Drosophila melanogaster: one gene and its partner. The protein of the gene in region 1 interacts with the protein of each later gene in a pairwise test. Each region holds a gene or a part of one and is shown on either strand. Other genes may lie near its edges.

What was found. Proteins that work in one complex are often made in the same cells at the same time.
Region 2: the proteins of Su(H) (region 1) and mam interact in a two-hybrid assay, tested with the Drosophila melanogaster proteins (6 studies listed by BioGRID).

The regions. Positions count from the first base shown.
Region 1 is NT_033779.5:15,035,706-15,045,725, reverse strand, and holds Su(H) (suppressor of hairless), read right to left. Parts: upstream 6,239-10,020; 5' UTR 5,790-6,238; coding exon 5,406-5,789; intron 4,632-5,405; coding exon 3,751-4,631; intron 3,693-3,750; coding exon 3,485-3,692; intron 3,420-3,484; coding exon 3,108-3,419; 3' UTR 2,392-3,107; downstream 1-2,391. Other genes in the region: ck (crinkled), read left to right, coding at 1-36, 106-312; CIAPIN1 (cytokine induced apoptosis inhibitor 1), read left to right, coding at 6,951-7,086, 7,176-7,672, 7,741-7,854; yellow-c, read right to left, coding at 7,998-8,675, 8,735-9,140, 9,930-10,020. UniProt on the Drosophila melanogaster protein: Transcriptional regulator that plays a central role in Notch signaling, a signaling pathway involved in cell-cell communication that regulates a broad spectrum of cell-fate determinations.
Region 2 is NT_033778.4:13,989,228-13,996,090, forward strand, and holds the start of mam (mastermind), read left to right. Parts: upstream 1-1,975; 5' UTR 1,976-2,265; intron 2,266-2,750; 5' UTR 2,751-2,877; intron 2,878-6,863. Other genes in the region: RN-tre (uncharacterized protein), read right to left, coding at 1-397, 458-609.

The DNA of each region.
Region 1 (10,020 bases):
AAACACGGCGTGAGTCTCATACATCCAGTGACCAAGGTGAGAACTATAAACTATATAAATCTATTACAATATAAACCAAGAACATGATACATTTTAAAACTTCAGGACATTTTGGTTACGCATCCATTTACACGCATCTCGAATTGGTCATCGGGCAATACATATTTCCACATGACCATCGGAAATCTGGTTAGGGGCTCGAAATTGTTATGTGAAACGTCGCTGGGCTACAAGATGGACGATCTGCTGACTTCATATATCTCGTTGATGTTGACCAATATGAACAAAAATCGAACCATTCGAGCCAACTAGTAAAACCTACACATAACGCAAAATATTTATAATAATTATAAATTACAATTGCAATAACTTATAAAAGCCTAGTACTTTATAGATTTAAATCATACTTAATACCCACCTCCCTTTATTCCAATTGCATTCCCTTCCCAGAGAATTCATTCCAATTTTGGTCTTGTTCAGCTATCGATTATACCAAACCAACTTGCAACTTTTGTTTTTAGTATTTGTATTTGTATAAATTTTTGCAATTACACGTTTAGGTATTCTTATGGCACATTCCGGTTAAATTATTAAATACAATGTTTTTGTATGAAGAAAAGGTCTTACATATTTTTAGATAAGCATTTGTATCTACACATATTGCATCTATATCTTTGTATATCCTAACTGCATATCTGTACTGATGACGTTTTGTATCAAATACATAGAAATGTTCAATTATTTAATAAATTATATACAAATTATGTGGTCTTTTTAATAGAATCGGATGGAAGGTAAGGTCATCTCATTGACCTGGATTAATGCAAATTTCATTTCGATCAACGGTTAGAAAATTATACTTCGGACACAAACAAACGTGCAAACACGTAGTTAAATGTCTTAAGTTCATTTCGTTTAGAAACAAACAAACGAACTTTGGACACTTAATAACACTTAACTTGAACAAATGCTTGTGACAAGTCTTGAAAATGGGTTCGTATAGAACAAACCAATCTATTTTAGACAAAAAATGCTGTGTAAGCACAAGTGTTAATAGTTCATTAAAGTCATTAATAAATAAAATAATTAGTCTTATATAAATATCTTTGTTAAGTAACAACAATGGAACTAAACAAGTTGAAGTAACGGTTACGACCGACCCCTATAAACTTTGAAAATCCGATCGATTTTGCCATCGATTTACCAATCTTGACCTACGGCTTTGGATTTACCGCGCATGGAAGGGAGTACGTGTCCAAAGTCTTGTGAATACAAATTTTTATAGGACTGGATTATATAGTTTCCCTTGATTTTCTTGCCTGACTCCCACGCCACCGATTTCCCACGCATTGTATTTTGCGAGAATTTCCATTTTTCCCCAGCGTGTGAAAAACGGCAGCAGTCGGCACGGCAAGCTAAAGACTAAAGACGACGGCAGGTAGACTTAGATTTTTCAAGATAATGAACTTTTTTAGTAGACGGTATGAGGTTGTGTAGCAGTCCTGAGAACTTTTAGAAATTGCTGTCTCCCCCTTTCTAAAAACGACCACAATCATCGCACTCGCCTATCCAAACAGTGGTGGAGAAAGAGGGCCTGGGGAAATGTGAAGGAATTGTTCATTAAAAATTCCAAACTAATTTCATATTCAGCTTCTTATAAGACGGCGACGACCTTAAGAGGTTGCAGTTCCAATTGCCAGAGCCAGAACTTTTGGTGGTGGTTTTTCCATCATAATGAACACAGGCGGCCGCCAGTAGTTTGATTCCTCACGCAACCAAAGTTCGTTGTTTAAGTCTTTCGTTCCCATCGCCCGGTGCAGTAAAATCTTAGGGGTTGCAGCCAAGTTCCTATTGGCTGACTCTGATAAGAAATATGTCTCCCAAGTGCAAGATGAGATTAAATGCTTGGCCAGCGCTCACCTTCTGATTCCGTCGAGCGGAAGTGAGCGATAATTAATTCAAAACTGCGAATCTTAATTTGTAAATCTGTAAAGACAGCAGCAGCAACGAATGCATAAATATTCAACAAAGGCAGTAAAAATTCTCACAGCAGCTCGGCAGCGGCTTTTTGGGCTGTGAGAATATTCTGCTCCTTAACTTGGCCAAAACGGAAACAATAGTGTTATATATCTATGTATATTTGCTTCTTAGCTTCGCGTTCAGCAATTCCAGACCAAACTATAATTAAAGTCGGCCCGTCCGAGGGGGTTGAGGCAAACCATCGTGGGAAGAGCTGCACTTGTTTTGTTTAAAAATATTCACACGATACTGGGTAATATTCCCACAGCAATTTAAGGCAACCAATCCTCCCCAGCGCTCCACCTTAGGCCACAGGAAAAATGGTGAACCAGAAGAATCACGCTAAACCAAAAACATAAGCTGACATGATTTGATTATTCTTTGTCATCATTTGGGATTTCTTTTTTTTATTTATGTTAGGCATTTCGCTTACACTTAAATAAATCGCTGTTTTGTCTTGTTGCGATTTTATTTTACAAAATATTTTATTGGGATTTTTAATGCTACGAATTTCCAAAGTTAATAAAAAAATGCAACAAAACTGTATGTACAGAAACAAATTTTTCCCTTTTTGACTTTGTCTTCGACTTTTTAGAAAGCTAAAGAGGGAAATGGAATGTTTTTGTAGCGTGGCTACTGGCTTGTGTATAATAAAAATTTCCGATGCATTTCGCAGTATTTTTTTTTTTCATTTAGATCTTTGGAAATTCATAGCAAAGAAAATCATAAATATTTCAACCGCATCTAAAAATCGTCTATAAACTTACATCAATTGTATATTTAACTAGAATTACATGTTTTGTGTAAAGGTATATTCATGCACATACAAATGTATGTATGTATGTCAGTGAGCTTTTCGAGTTATGTACAGAGTTTTATGTGTCATTTACAATTCTATTGGTTCCGAACTAGCACTAGATACATGTGTAAAGTATGATTCACTTTAGAGAGAAGGGGACACATTTTGGTTTACGTCACGAGGGGTTGAAAATTAGTATGAGAAAAATTGTCAATCTACAAACTAAGGTCTTCGATAAAAACTATAAATAACTTAGGATACATATGTGTGCGATGCAATAATCCTGCACTCAGGATAAGCCGCTACCATGACTATTCCATTGCACTTCTGAGATGGAGGGCAGAGCCTGATGCTGCTGCTGTTGTTGTTGCAAGCCACCGCCGGCTGCCGGCGATCCCGCATTGTTGCTGTTATTATTGTTGCTAATGCTAGTGATGTTATTATTGTTATTGTTCTGTCGCGCTCGCATCACATCCTCGGCCTGTGTATTGCAGTGCGGCCGAGGACCTGGTTCAGGTGTATACGTGAAGGTCAGACCGGTGGCATAAATTATTCCATCGTTGCGCACCAGCGAAATGGGCACCTGCGTGGGCTGACGTACCTGCAAGGACCATTAAAAGTAAAATTTATAGCGCGTATTAAACAGATTTACATTGGAAAACCTACCCAAAGCCATTCGCCTCGAAATTGTGAAATCTCCGGCACCACGCATAGCAATGTCTCTGTGCAGCGGTACATGGTTTCCGCCTCCACATCGCCAAACCACACCTGCAGATGCGGCGTAAAGTTGTCGCCACTCAGCTCTAGCATGGCCACATCCCCGCCGCCATTGAGATTAAGGGAATTAACGATTGGCACTGGAGTGACTGGAGAACTGGAAGAAAACACGAAATGAAAACTAATCCATTGAGTTGTAAGTAAGCTATACTTACGCCACAGGACCCATGCCCTCGTAGAACTGGTACTCAGCCTTGTCGGTGGATATGATGGTCCAGCAGGCGCCGTCATTGATCATCTCCTTGTTCGGCTCCTTGGGGCACGGCGTGGCCTGGAACTGTATGATTTTCTCCTGCGACAAACAGAGATACATCCGATCCGTATCCTTCATGTAGAAGGCGCATTTGTGCAGCTGAGAAACGGGATCGTCGGCTTCCAGCAGGGCCATCTGCTTGTCTACCTTCCGGATGATCAGACGTGGCAGGGCCATGCCCGTTACGGAGCACACCAGTTTGACTGTGGCTCCGTAATGAATGTAACCATCGCGCACCTGAAACTCCTCCGACTCGGACTCATTGTCATCCAGCAGGTGTATCGTAAAAGCTCCCCATTGTGTTGACGACGCATGAAAGTGTCCGTTCTCCACGTGAAGGTAACGGGTGGAGACAGTCTGGGAACGCAGGCGATTGAACAGGGCTACATTGGTGCCGCTGGCTATGCACAGATCGGCATTCTTTAGCGACTGTTTCTTTTTGGACGGCTTGGATATAACCTTGATCCGTTTCGAGTTAAAAACGCCAATGTCATGACCGTTTCCGTAAAACATCTTCACCGACAGCATAAAGTGTTTTCGCTTGTCCGAGTCCGAGATGAAGAGCGTCTTGGCCGCACAGTACTGCTTGCCATTGAGATCCAGCTGCTGCATATCCTGGTCACTGCTCCCGATACCGATGAACGCGCATAGTTGTGCTCCCTGTTCGCCCTCGCCCTGCTGCAACATCTCCTCGTACCGCCGGCGCCAGCCACTTCCGAACAGATAAATGCACGGCGGTGGGCAAAAGAATCGCTTCTCATTGCCATAGGACTTTTGGGCCACCTGGAATTCACACAGACAGACAGACAGAGGCGCACGATGGTGCAGGGAAAATTCAATTAGTACAAATTGCCGTCCAGATTATCGGAAAATCATATCAAAACCGCAAGCAATGCAGCTTTGTTAATTTTCTGTAATTAATTTCAATTATTTTCATTGCGGACTGGACCGCGCTCGCGTTGCTCAATTTGCGGGCAGTCGAGTGTGAAGGATTCCCATTTGGCGGCAGTCGTCGCTTGAAGATCGCCACCGCTAAAAGCAACCGCGACAATTTTATTCCATTTTCATGTCTGCGTTCGCCAAAAACCGCAAAAATGTAACACTTTAAAGTGGACAATGGAAACACTAGCACCTTTAAATAGTGGGTGTGGTTTTGGCGTTGCGGACTGACCGATTAGATTAAAACTAAATTATAAAAAAAAAATAAATATCTTGTAAAGCATACAAGTAATTTTCAAAGAAAGGATACATCGTTAAACTTGAAATAGAAAGAAAATCTGAATTTAATCTATTTAATCTAAAAAATCGAATAATTTAGGAAATCGACGTACAAAACTGACCAAGTTTCTAATTTAAATGAAAGTTAGGATATCCTACGTTTCTCCAGTTTGGGTTAATATATTTTTAGTAATATTGAAATAATGTATTTCAAGCTTCAAATAATTTAATTAAGACTTAAGACTCAGGAGTTCCCTTGTATGTTTTAGAATATCTTGAATACTAAATCCAGACCAAGCACCTGATAATACCGGCTTAAAAGTGGAAATCCTTTCGTACCTTGGCGTGCAGGATAACGATGACCATGTCGTTGCGCTCGCGCATGTACTTCTCCATGGCGTCCCGCGTGAGCTTCTTCTCCTCGATGTGTGGCCGGTAAGGACCCGGCAGCAAGGACATCTGCATTTGTTGTTGATGCTGCTGTTGTTGTTGTTGTTGTTGCTGCTGCTGCTGCTGTTGGTGGTGCACTTGCAATTGTTGTTGCTGCTGCTGCGACGACGGCGGCTGCGGACCGGGCAGTCCAAAGTGCGGCATATCCTGGCTCTGTTGTTGCTGCTGCTGGTGAGGATCGAGGGGTGAGCCGTTGGGATTTACAACCGTAGTTTCGTAGGCAATGGCGGGCGGGGCGGCGGCGTTTAAATTAAATTGGCTGTAGCTCTTCATTTATGCACATGTCTCCTTGCATTGAACTTATTGGAATTTTGTTTGGATCTTTTCTATTATTTCGTTTTTGGCTATTTGGCAAATTCGTTTGGCACTTTATACACTGTTCGCTGGTGCTGTTTTTGTTGTTGTTGTTGCTGCTGTATGTTTTCTATTTTGTTATCCTGCTGCACAAACACACACGCAGAGCAGCTGTCGTTTCTCTCACGCACTCTCTTCCTCTTAACCGCGGATTGGCTTTGTTGTTGTAGCTCAAGCTGGATTTGCGGCTAGCTGCGATTCACGACTAATCACACATATTTCAGCGTTTCGAGCAGATCTTGACTAGCGACTAGCGGTAGTGGCGGCTGGCTTCTGTTTAAGGCTGCAACTAGCGCTCGAGTTATATTTATAATATGCTACAACTAAAAAAGCGACTGAGGATGTTGATGTTGTATCGATAGTCCGATAGGCGCTTATTTATGATAGTCGCTGCCTACCGGCGATATGTTTGTCGCTTCACAGCACTGTTGGTTGGATTTGGATGGCAGTGGGCATTTGGTTATTTTATAGCCAATTTGGAGTAGCTAATATATTTTGTTTTAACTTTGCAGTTTCTGAATACATTTGTATATTTATTCCCATCACATCACTGTTAAAGATATTATTTCTTATATCTATAAATACTTTTAACTGATGCGAAAGGTATCGATTTTCATTGAACACTTCGATTTTGAGCGCCCACATTTAAAATTCAAGGTACAAACTACCAACCTTCTTGTCTAACTGTCCATGCATTTTTAAAACGGGCCGTGGGAAAGTACACATGGGTGAATTTAAAAGATAATTCGCGACTTTAGGCTTAAATGTAACCGTTTAAATAGGTTTAGTGGCAGAAACACACAATATGCAACTAAAAGCTGTTAATTATGTATCAGAATGTAAGCTGTAACTCATTAAAAAACGAATCTGGTGGAGTACACTTAGTTATTCATATATTTTAGCAGTCACAGTGTAAAGTGGAAAAATCTACAATCACTGAATATCATTTGCAATCCGATAGGCAGGTACAATCGATATCACCGCTCGATTTTCGGTGCATTGCCATATCTAACTTGTGAAATCAAAAATCGGTTCCGTTCGGTGCTTGAACTTTTGAGATATTCTAGAAACACATCCACAATGGAGAACTTTAAGGGTCTACAAAAATCCCTATACATATGGACGGACAGCGCCGACTTGGACAAGCGCGTGGAGCAACTAAAGGCGGCCACTGGCGGCGATGTGGCTTTGGAAAATGTGCACCGCCTTTCGTTTTGTAAGTTGCGTGCGGTGCGGTGTGTGTGTGCTGTTTTTGACTAGCCAGTGAGTCAGCAGATTAAAATCAGTGATGTTTATGCATTACAGCTTCCTATGCCAACTCCAGTTTCGACCTGATTGTGATCGAGTGCGCCCAGCTGACCGACAGTTACGTAAAACTGCTGCACATGCTGAAACCGAGTGGCAAACTGCATTTGGTGTCCTACATCGGTCCGGCGGCTAGTTTGCTGCAGGAGATCAAGCTATCCGGATTCATAAACTGTCGCGAGGACTCTCCAGATGCTTTGACCGCCGAGAAGCCTGGCTACGAGACAGGATCCTCAGCCAGGTTGTCATTCGCAAAGAAGAACGCCAGTGCAGTCAATGTGTGGAAGATAAGCGGTGACGATGAGGAACTGATCGATGAGGAGGAGCTGCTGGACGAGGAAGACAAACAGAAGCCGGATCCGGCTGGTCTGCGTGTCTGTAGCACCACGGGCAAGCGCAAGGCGTGCAAAAACTGCTCCTGCGGGCTGGCCGAGGAATTGGAGACTGAAAAACAGAGCCAGAAGGCCACCGAGAATGCCAAGTCAAGCTGTGGAAATGTGAGTTCTCTTAACCCCGATGTGAGTTAGCATTAACCTCGATTATAACTGATTTCTTATATGCACAGTGTTATCTCGGCGACGCCTTCCGCTGCTCCACTTGCCCCTATTTGGGCATGCCCGCCTTTAAGCCCGGTGAGAAGGTGCAACTGGCCGACAACCTCCTGAAATCCGACATTTAACTTAGGCTCACCATGGTATACCCAATCAATCACATTTCAAATAGTTTATTAAGCTGACTTACTAACAAACAATAATGTCATAATGTAAATACAAAAATGCACCGCGTCATAAACACAGCATGTAGATTTAAATATCCAAGTGATCACATTTCGCATGGTGTACCCTTGATGAGATCGCGGTTCTGGCCCATCAAAATACGATAGTTGACGGCCGAGGGATCGAGTTCCTTGTACAAATATGTCGGCATCTTGTCGGACAGCACCCAAATAGTGCCTTCATTGTCGATTTTCATGTCATTTGGAAAGACCAGAGTGTGCGAATCGGAATCGATTAGCCCCTGGGTGTCCGGAGTGTATGGACGCTTGATGTTCCAACAAGCAATGGCGTCTTTGTTCACCTGCGTATAGAAGATGACGCCGGTCTCGGGGTCAAAGACCTCGGCGGTGGACTGGCCATTCATGCCACGGTCACCAACGTATTTAAAATCGTAATACGAATCGCCAGCGGTCACGTGTGATTCGTTTTGCAGCACGCGGTTCGAAACCTTGAACTCCTTGGTACTGGCCAGGGCATGGAAATAAATGTCCTTGGAGTGATCTGGATTCATTGGGCCCACGGCCAGCCCAAAAACGCCATCCGTCCACTGGAAGTTCACGCCGCCCACATTGAAATCACCATGCAGAGGATCGAAGTGGAAGAAGTTGTGCTTGACGCGGTAGGATTTGTCGTTCCTCAGGGAGTACACAATCACACCGTAGGCACCCAAATCCGGAATGTAAGCAAAGGCATCTTGGCACTCCGAGCGGTCCGCATCCACAACCTAAATATTGATTAATTCGATCAGTTTGGAATTTAAATAATACGCCTATGCATACTCACAATATTCGCAAAGAACGAGTCCTCTTTGGTCTGATCAGCGGGAATGGTGAAACGGCGCAGTAAAGTATCTGTTTTCAAGTCGAAAACCAGGATTGAATTGGGCGTAATCTGCTTGGGACTGCCCAGGATGTCGGCCAAGCCAGTATCGAGCACCCACAGGCGATCGCATACGTCGACTTGAATTCGGAAGGTGGAAATGACAGTGGAGTTGTCCTTCAGCTGGATGCCGGCATCTTGAGCCTTGTCCGCGTCCAGACGTCCACCGGATGGTGTCTTTTGGTCCTGTGGCTGCACATCGATGGGCAGCTTGTTGGCCTCCCAACTGGGATACGGATGCAGCTTTGGCGACTTCTCCGTCGAATTAATGTCGATGTAGTTGAGTGTGGCAGCAACACCAGCCTTCCATCTAAAGGGAAAGTAGATCATTTAATAATGAGGAGAAATAAATTAACTAAAAAATTTACATTTCAGACTTGTTTAGTTACTAATTACATTTAAACCTGACACTGGCAAGTAACAAATTAATAACATTAAAAAGTACCATTCACCTGCGCAATTATTATGACTGATTGGATATAGTCTAATATAAGCTATAGTTTTAATTTATATCTTAGCACTATCAGTTAAAACTTTGACGGCAACTATAGCTTAAATAATTATGCTGTATTATCAACAAAATATACTTTTTTTACGTATCTTATTTTTCGAAATGTTTTTAAATCGAATTTTGTTTTGATTACTCATATCTCCCGAAAAGCAGAATGGTTTTCGGGGCTTTTTGGCCAATAAGCGCATCGGTGGTAAATCCCAAAAAGGTGACGTCACAAAGACTTTGTTTACTAGTTACCTAGTTAGCCTTTTATGGGATCCATAATATTCCATAGAATTTTCCGATCATGTGTTTTCTCTTATTAATTTATAATTAACCTCATGTTACGATTTGCATTTAGAAACCACGATTTAAAATGCAAAATAGACATACACAAATGGGGTAAAAAATGATAAAGTTAACTAGCCAGCGAGGAAACCGGTTTCCCCTCCTGACGCTCGATGATTTTGCAAGTCTAGCTTGACATTTAATTACAAACCAAGCCAACAAAAAAGGTAAATAATAAGAAAAAAAAAGAAAACCTAACTACAGCTTACCGTAAGTTTGTTGTCTCTTTTTTTTTTGTCTATGAATTTGGTTACTTACCTTGGCACAGTGACAAAGATTCTGTTTTGCCAACGCTCCACGCCCAGCGGCAGGTTGTTCTCCACGATGTAGTGGCCATTCGACTTGGCCT
Region 2 (6,863 bases), on another chromosome or scaffold:
GTTGTAGATGCTATAGGCGTTGAGCACATTGAATAGCGAGCACTGCTTTACGCTGTAGCGCTCGCGAAAGGCAAGATTGTCGCGAAACTGACGATTCACATCGGCATCGATTTGTCGCGTCTCCGTGGAGTACTTCCTGGCCAGCTGCAGCATTCGGAGGTAGACGCCAGCATTGTTGTTTATCGATTGCTGGATGTCGAGCAGCTTATTCCAGGCCACCATACGCACGCGATCCGGTATGCCCTTGTAGACGCGCTTGTGCAGCTTATCCTGGGGCGGCGGCCACTGATTTAGCATCTTCATCCACTTTTTGTCCCGCTCCATTTCAATCTTGTTGCGATGCACCTCCTGGGCATCACGCGTCGACGGCAGCCGCGAGTCGTGCAAGAAGCCATATCTGTGGGAGCATCAATGGCATTATTGGGATTTTTTCTGGCGAATGATTAATATTACTCACTTGTCTGTCCTGTGGTAGATCTCGAAGGTGGGATTCTCCCAGGAGTCCACCACATTGCTGGGATCCAGCCCGAGTTCGTAGCGCCGGAAGATGTCCTCGCGCTCGTCCTCGGCCCGCTTGACCAGCGCCTCCTGCTGTTCGCCGTCAGTCATTTGGAGCAGGATCAGGATTTGGCGGGTGGGGGAGGGGATCGGGGACAGGAGCAGGAGCCGGATCCGGAGGAGCAAGTGGCCAGAGCTGGTTTCTCTGTGCTCTCAGTTGGGGAGCGGCTGCTTCTGAGCTGACTGGGCGATAGCGCGAAACTTTGATAAAAAAAAAATGGAATGGAAAAAATAACACACAAAAGCATTAACATGCGAAAGCGATCCACAATAACAACACTCGTATACTATATAGCTGATGAGCGAATGACGCACACGAACATTAACTATTGTATATATATATATATATATTCAAATGCAGTGAAATCAACATGATCTTTGTTTTTGGAGAAGGAGCGTGGCATAAATGACGTGATGTTTCACCCATATTTAGTGCAGCATCAAAACATAAAGCCATATAAGACTTGGTCACTGATCTAGAAAAACGCCCCCTGATCTGCGTTGTGTGAGTGTGAGTGGGCCAGAAATGTGTGGATCTGCATGCGCCCCCGGGTTTTTGTCGCCTATTTTAATGCGAAATGTGCAATCTTATGCTTTATCGTTCGTACACTTCCTGTTTTCGCTGCGATTTGTTGTATTTTGTCAACACAGACACATACGCACACACGTAACACACACACACACAGACGCTCCGACGAAAGAGAGTGTTCTGGCTTTCACTGGCCACTCTCTCCGCGTTCCTATGGTTGAGTTTAATTAATCGCGCCGACGTTCGTTTACCATTTAATTTTGAATTGCCAATTCTTATTATCCGCACTGATCGGTTATGTTTGGTAACTAGTTTTTCACTATTTTATCTCGGCTGCATGTTTCCGATACATTTGGGGGGCGACTGAGTGTGTGTGAGGGCCAGAGTTGCCAGACTGATGTAATTGCCGAATAACGTAACGTAACAAGAGTACCAGGGATGCGAGCCAATATTTAAGCGATACTTTAGCGTAATGTTATACGAGTTTAAATTTTAGTTGAAATGTTTGTGATGTCAATGTACAAATATGTAAAATGTTTATCTATTTAAAGCTGCAAATGAATGCTCATTTATAAATATTTAACAATGATATTTATTTACTTATTATTTAAAACCTATTCAGTTACTTAATTGCGACAAGTGGCACTTAATGAATTAAAACATTTGTGGAAAACATTTTCACTTCAAAATTTATTTCTTGATAACAAAATCGGCTTTTTAATTCAAATATAATTTTTGTGACTAAATAAGCAGTGCTGCCATACATTCAACTGGAAAACATCGTCAGCAACAGAAGGATAAGTAATCGCTTGATCGATAGCGTTATCGATGTTTTCCCAGCCATCGTTCCACCACTAGCGCCTCTCAAAACAACAAAAAAACAGCGGCAGTCGGACGCGGTTTTTATCATCGAGCGCGGTTTCTTTGTTTTAGCGCTCGAAAATTGTCGAGAACTCTCGTAAAAAATACACTGTACCAAATAACTAAGGAGTGCATGCTAATTGAACAAGCAAATGAATTAAGGTGTATATCAAAGTGAAAAGAAGTCAAACATAACCGATTTTGTTGGCGGCTTTCTTTTATTTTTGTTGAGATACCGTGTTTAATTTCTCCAGTTTTATGCAAACACATGAATAACATAACAGTGGAAATTTCTAAGAGTGCATTGTGAGATAAAAGTAAGCAAATAATTAATATTATGTTTAACATAAAATGCAACCCTCAACAGCGTCCTTTTTAAAGGTGTGCGTTTATATATATATATATATATATATATATATATATATATGTGTGTTTGTGTGTGCGTGTGAGTGATTGTGGATTTTGTGATGCAAAAGAAAATTGCCGCGTGTAAATTTTTGATTTTCAATTCGAGACGAGCAGAGGATTTTTAAACTGCAGCTCTAGCATTTACCGTTAGGGCAAGAGTAAACACATTCAACATGTTGCAGTCACTAAAAACTAAAACAAAAGCAAAGCGGATCACTCTCTTTCTCATTCTCTCATTCGCTCTCTTTGAGTTATAAGTGTTTTTGCCGTGTTTTGTTTTGATTTTTGCACATACACGAAGACATCGAGAGAGGAGAGCGGAGAGTTTCTGCTCTTTTGATTGTTGTTGCATTGGCCAGCTAATAAAATTGTGCCGTTCTTGTTGTTGTTGCAGTTGGATTAAAATTCAAAGCATTGGATAAATGCTAAGTTGAAATAACAACAGTAATAACAAATGGAAAATAGCAAATAGCAAATCAAAGGAAATCAAAATCAAGTTGGATTATCAGCACAGCTTCTGGGTAAGTAAGTTAAGTCTCTTATCGCCTAATTAGTTTATAGCGTTTTAGTTTCGTGTGGGTGGCTTTTTGCATTTCAAAACCAGTTCTATTTCGGGTTTTCATATGCCTTTTTTTCTCTTCTCATGTTGATAAGACCTTGAAGCGCTTTTCGTGTAGAACTTCGCATGATTGATGTTTTTATGTTTGAGGGGAGCTTGAGTCAAAGCTCGGCTTTTAAAAATGGATCAAGACCAGTTTTTCGAGGCTTTGGAATTGCCAAATAATTTCCTAAGCCCAAACTGCAGTTTGTTGTGGTTGTTGCTATTGCTTTTGCTTGCATCGCCTAGAAAATGATGGATGCACACACCTCTCGCTCTACCCTTGCCGTCCCTTTCGCACATCCAGAAGTTGTCGGTTGAGTTTTTATGGCCGTCTCTTTTGTCTCTCCATTTATTTGCCTTTGTCTTTGGACTGATGACTTTGTTTTTGCCCTGTCTTTGATTCTTTCTTTCTCTCTCTCTGCTTCTTCTTCAACGTTGATCCTTTGATTTCGTTTGATCCTTGTAGGTAGAAAAGATTGAGTGTGGGAGAGATCTACCGTTGTTTCGTTACTTCAATCTATAAGATACTAGAATTTTCTTTTTTAAAACCAATTCGAGAAATATTTCAATATATATTTTTGGGGAAAGAAGAATTTTAATTCTTTCGAATATTAAAGAGTTTTTTAAGATTGATTTATAAATTTCTTTTGGATCTTATTATTTGTATTTTGTATACGAAACATTCCATCTTATATTATTATCGTTAGTTTTTTGTAACTCCAAAAATCAAAATAAATATTCAAATAAAGAATTCTGTATTGCCTTTTGTTTTAATGCCATTATGCAATATATGCATTTATTGCTTAAATATTTTTAAAATTATTAACAGCATTCAGCTTATGTCTTTTGAACATTCTCCTTACCAATATCAGATGCATTCCAACCGAAATGCGACGAAGGGCATGCATTTAAACACAATACCTGGCATACTCGACATTTTAAATGCTTTTCATCACTTGATAAACAGTATTATTTGCCTTTCCTTTTTTTTTTTTTACATACATGTATCTCCCTCTGTTCGCCGCCGTTTGTTTTGCCCCCGTCTTCGCATATGTACGTCTTCGAGTGGTCTAACATGTAATGTATGCCTCGTCTTTAGTTTCTTGTTCGTTTCGTCTTTGAGACACCGGAAGTTGTTGCTAGGCTGAAAAAGTTGTGTGTGTTTTTCAGCAGTGTCTCCAGCTGTATCTTTATCTCCCTCTGGAGCCGTATATCCATCTCTATCGACGAGCAAGTGGCGCGTGTGAATGACCCAATTAAGCTGAAGATAACCCGGCCTAAGCTTCGACTTCGTAGGTGGCTTAAAACAACTCGGTTGGCCAAGAAGAAGCAGCCCCAGAACCTGCCAGACGAACATACCTACTATGGCACAACAAAAAAGAGTTCACATCGAATATATCGAATGCGAAGTTTGAACTGTAAACAGGTTTACTTGGCCTCACCTCGCTTCGTCTGCTGCAGTTGGCTGCTACAGGTTTGCCTCCGTATCGCGAACTGCGCGCCATGGAATTTCCTGTATTCATTCATTTTTGAATCCATATAACATAAGCCTTATTTCACTTAAGTTAAAAAACTACAATAAGAAGAAAATAAATGCATACCATTTCAATCTTAAAATTCTTGAAATAAAAAAAATTTCATTCCGGGTGTGAATTTGTGGATTTGATTAAATAAAAAATAACTGTAGTATATATATGTTGATGTTGAAATTTTTAAAAGCTCCTCCATTACTTTCTCCATTTAAGAAACAGGGTAATGTTTTTCTAAGGTCAGCTTATGCAAAGAATAACATATGCAGTAATCCCAGTTTAAGTTATCAACATTTCACTGTACATGGTTTAGTGTGGTGCTTTATTTTGTCAGGCCAAACTCCTTTTCAACATTTTTGTATTAAATATTTCGCACCATGTTCTGCATTTATTCGGATACGAGAGATCTCCCGAGGCTCCAGTCTTCAACTCCATCTCCTTCTGTGCGTCTGCCATCTCTGTTCGACGCTCTAATGCCGTCCTTTTCTGTGGCATATTTTGTCGTTGAGTCAGTTGGGGTCAATGCTGCTGCTCAACTTAACTCTTTGCTCACTCAACTCACTTTGCTCGATGGCCAAAACAGGTTTCCGCTTTGGCTGAGCTTTTGTTGTACGCTTGTTTTTTCGGGTTTTTCTCCTGTGCAGCAGCGCGGCCTCACCCACAGTTTGCTGTTTTATTTTTCGTTTCGTGTGCTTGGGCTTTGGGCCCAATACCCAATATATCTGGAATCCCAACCCTCGAGTGAAACATCCCTGCTGCCGCAAAACAGCCCTCAAAAGCGGGCAATCGCAACCTGAGACACTGGGAATGCGAGTGCAGATGGAACTTGGGAATCGTATTTTGGGGAGGGGTGTTGACGATGGGACTCTTTCGGATGGCGCTGCAGCTGGAGCTGTGTCTGTGGCTGGATAGTCCGGGCTATCCCGAAAGTGGATGCCCCATTCCAGGTGTTCGGTCGCTGCATTGTAGCAGGCGCTCAGCTGCATTCACCGCACGATTGTGTGCAGTGGCCGCATGTTGCAAGTTGTTGCACCAGCAACACTCAAGCGAATCTTTCGCGAAAGCCCGAGACGCAGGCACAGACGATGGCGACGGCGACTGGCATTTCTGCACCGGTTTTCCAGCCATTTTCCCCCATTCGCATTGGCCGCCTATGCTTTCTTCCTTATCGCCTGTTTCGCTGCTGCCACAACTTGCTGCTGTTGCCGCTGTACATGTTGCCGCTGTTGCTGCCACTGCATCTCTGGCTGCTGCTGCGCTGCTGTAAATGTTGCCGCGAATGTTGCTGCCGCGGCAACATTCGTGGTGCCAGCTGCACTTGCTACTTCGACCAAAGTTGCGGATATCAATTTACTTAAGCATTTGTGGCTCCTGGTACTGAAAGTTTTATTTGAAATTGATAGCCGGGAAATATATATGCGCATTTCTTCAAATCGCAGTATTCATTTCGTATAAGGTTAGGATTTGTTTCTTGTTTTTCTACGTTCGTAACCATGTAATATAATTAATAATATTTACAAGCACGTCGATATCAATTGAAACGATACCATAAAATAAAAGGATTACTTTACAAAAGAAAACCTATTAATAAAACCTATTCAACTCAAGTTAAAACTGTAAGATCACACACGTTCTTGTGTATAAAGTAATCTTGAGAGGTTTTTGAACATGAGGCATCGCACCCATTTTGGAACCAATCGCATACAGTGCGATCAAGCAGACTCCAGTGGCTTGTGGACCGGGTGTGTTTGCTTTTGCCTTAATCAGCAGAAAATCATATGCGAAATGTACGATACAGATGTGCCCATATACACATCTAGCTATAGCACTCTTTATGTAGAGCCCCTCTAGCTCTAGAGTCTAGACTCTAAAGTCTAGACCACATAAACGCGTATCGATGGCGACGAAATGTGTACATCGCACATGAACGAACGGGGCGAGTGAGTATGTACAGTTTAAGAGAGCGAGGCAATATGAAATATAAACAAATAATTAACTGACATATCCGTATGCTTATCGCGCAACAAACCGCAGCAGCAGCAGCAGCAGCAACAACAGGGGCAACAGCAACGGCAGAAGCACAGATACAGATACATCAGATACAGATACGGACACGGATTCAGATACAGGCACACTTTCGGGGCGAGAGCGACTCTGAAATTTGTTTCTGACAAAATGCCATAATGAACGTGCTGAGTGGCGTCGCGGAACCAGATACTCATGACCAGATACTCGTACGTCCACGTCCGAAAAACCCGAGAGATACTCTCGTACTCGTACTCGTACTCGTATTTGTACTTGCTCGTCGTTTTCCGTTGTACTTGCGTCGCGGCAGCGGCAACAACATGAACAGAATGTATCTACAACATCAAACGTG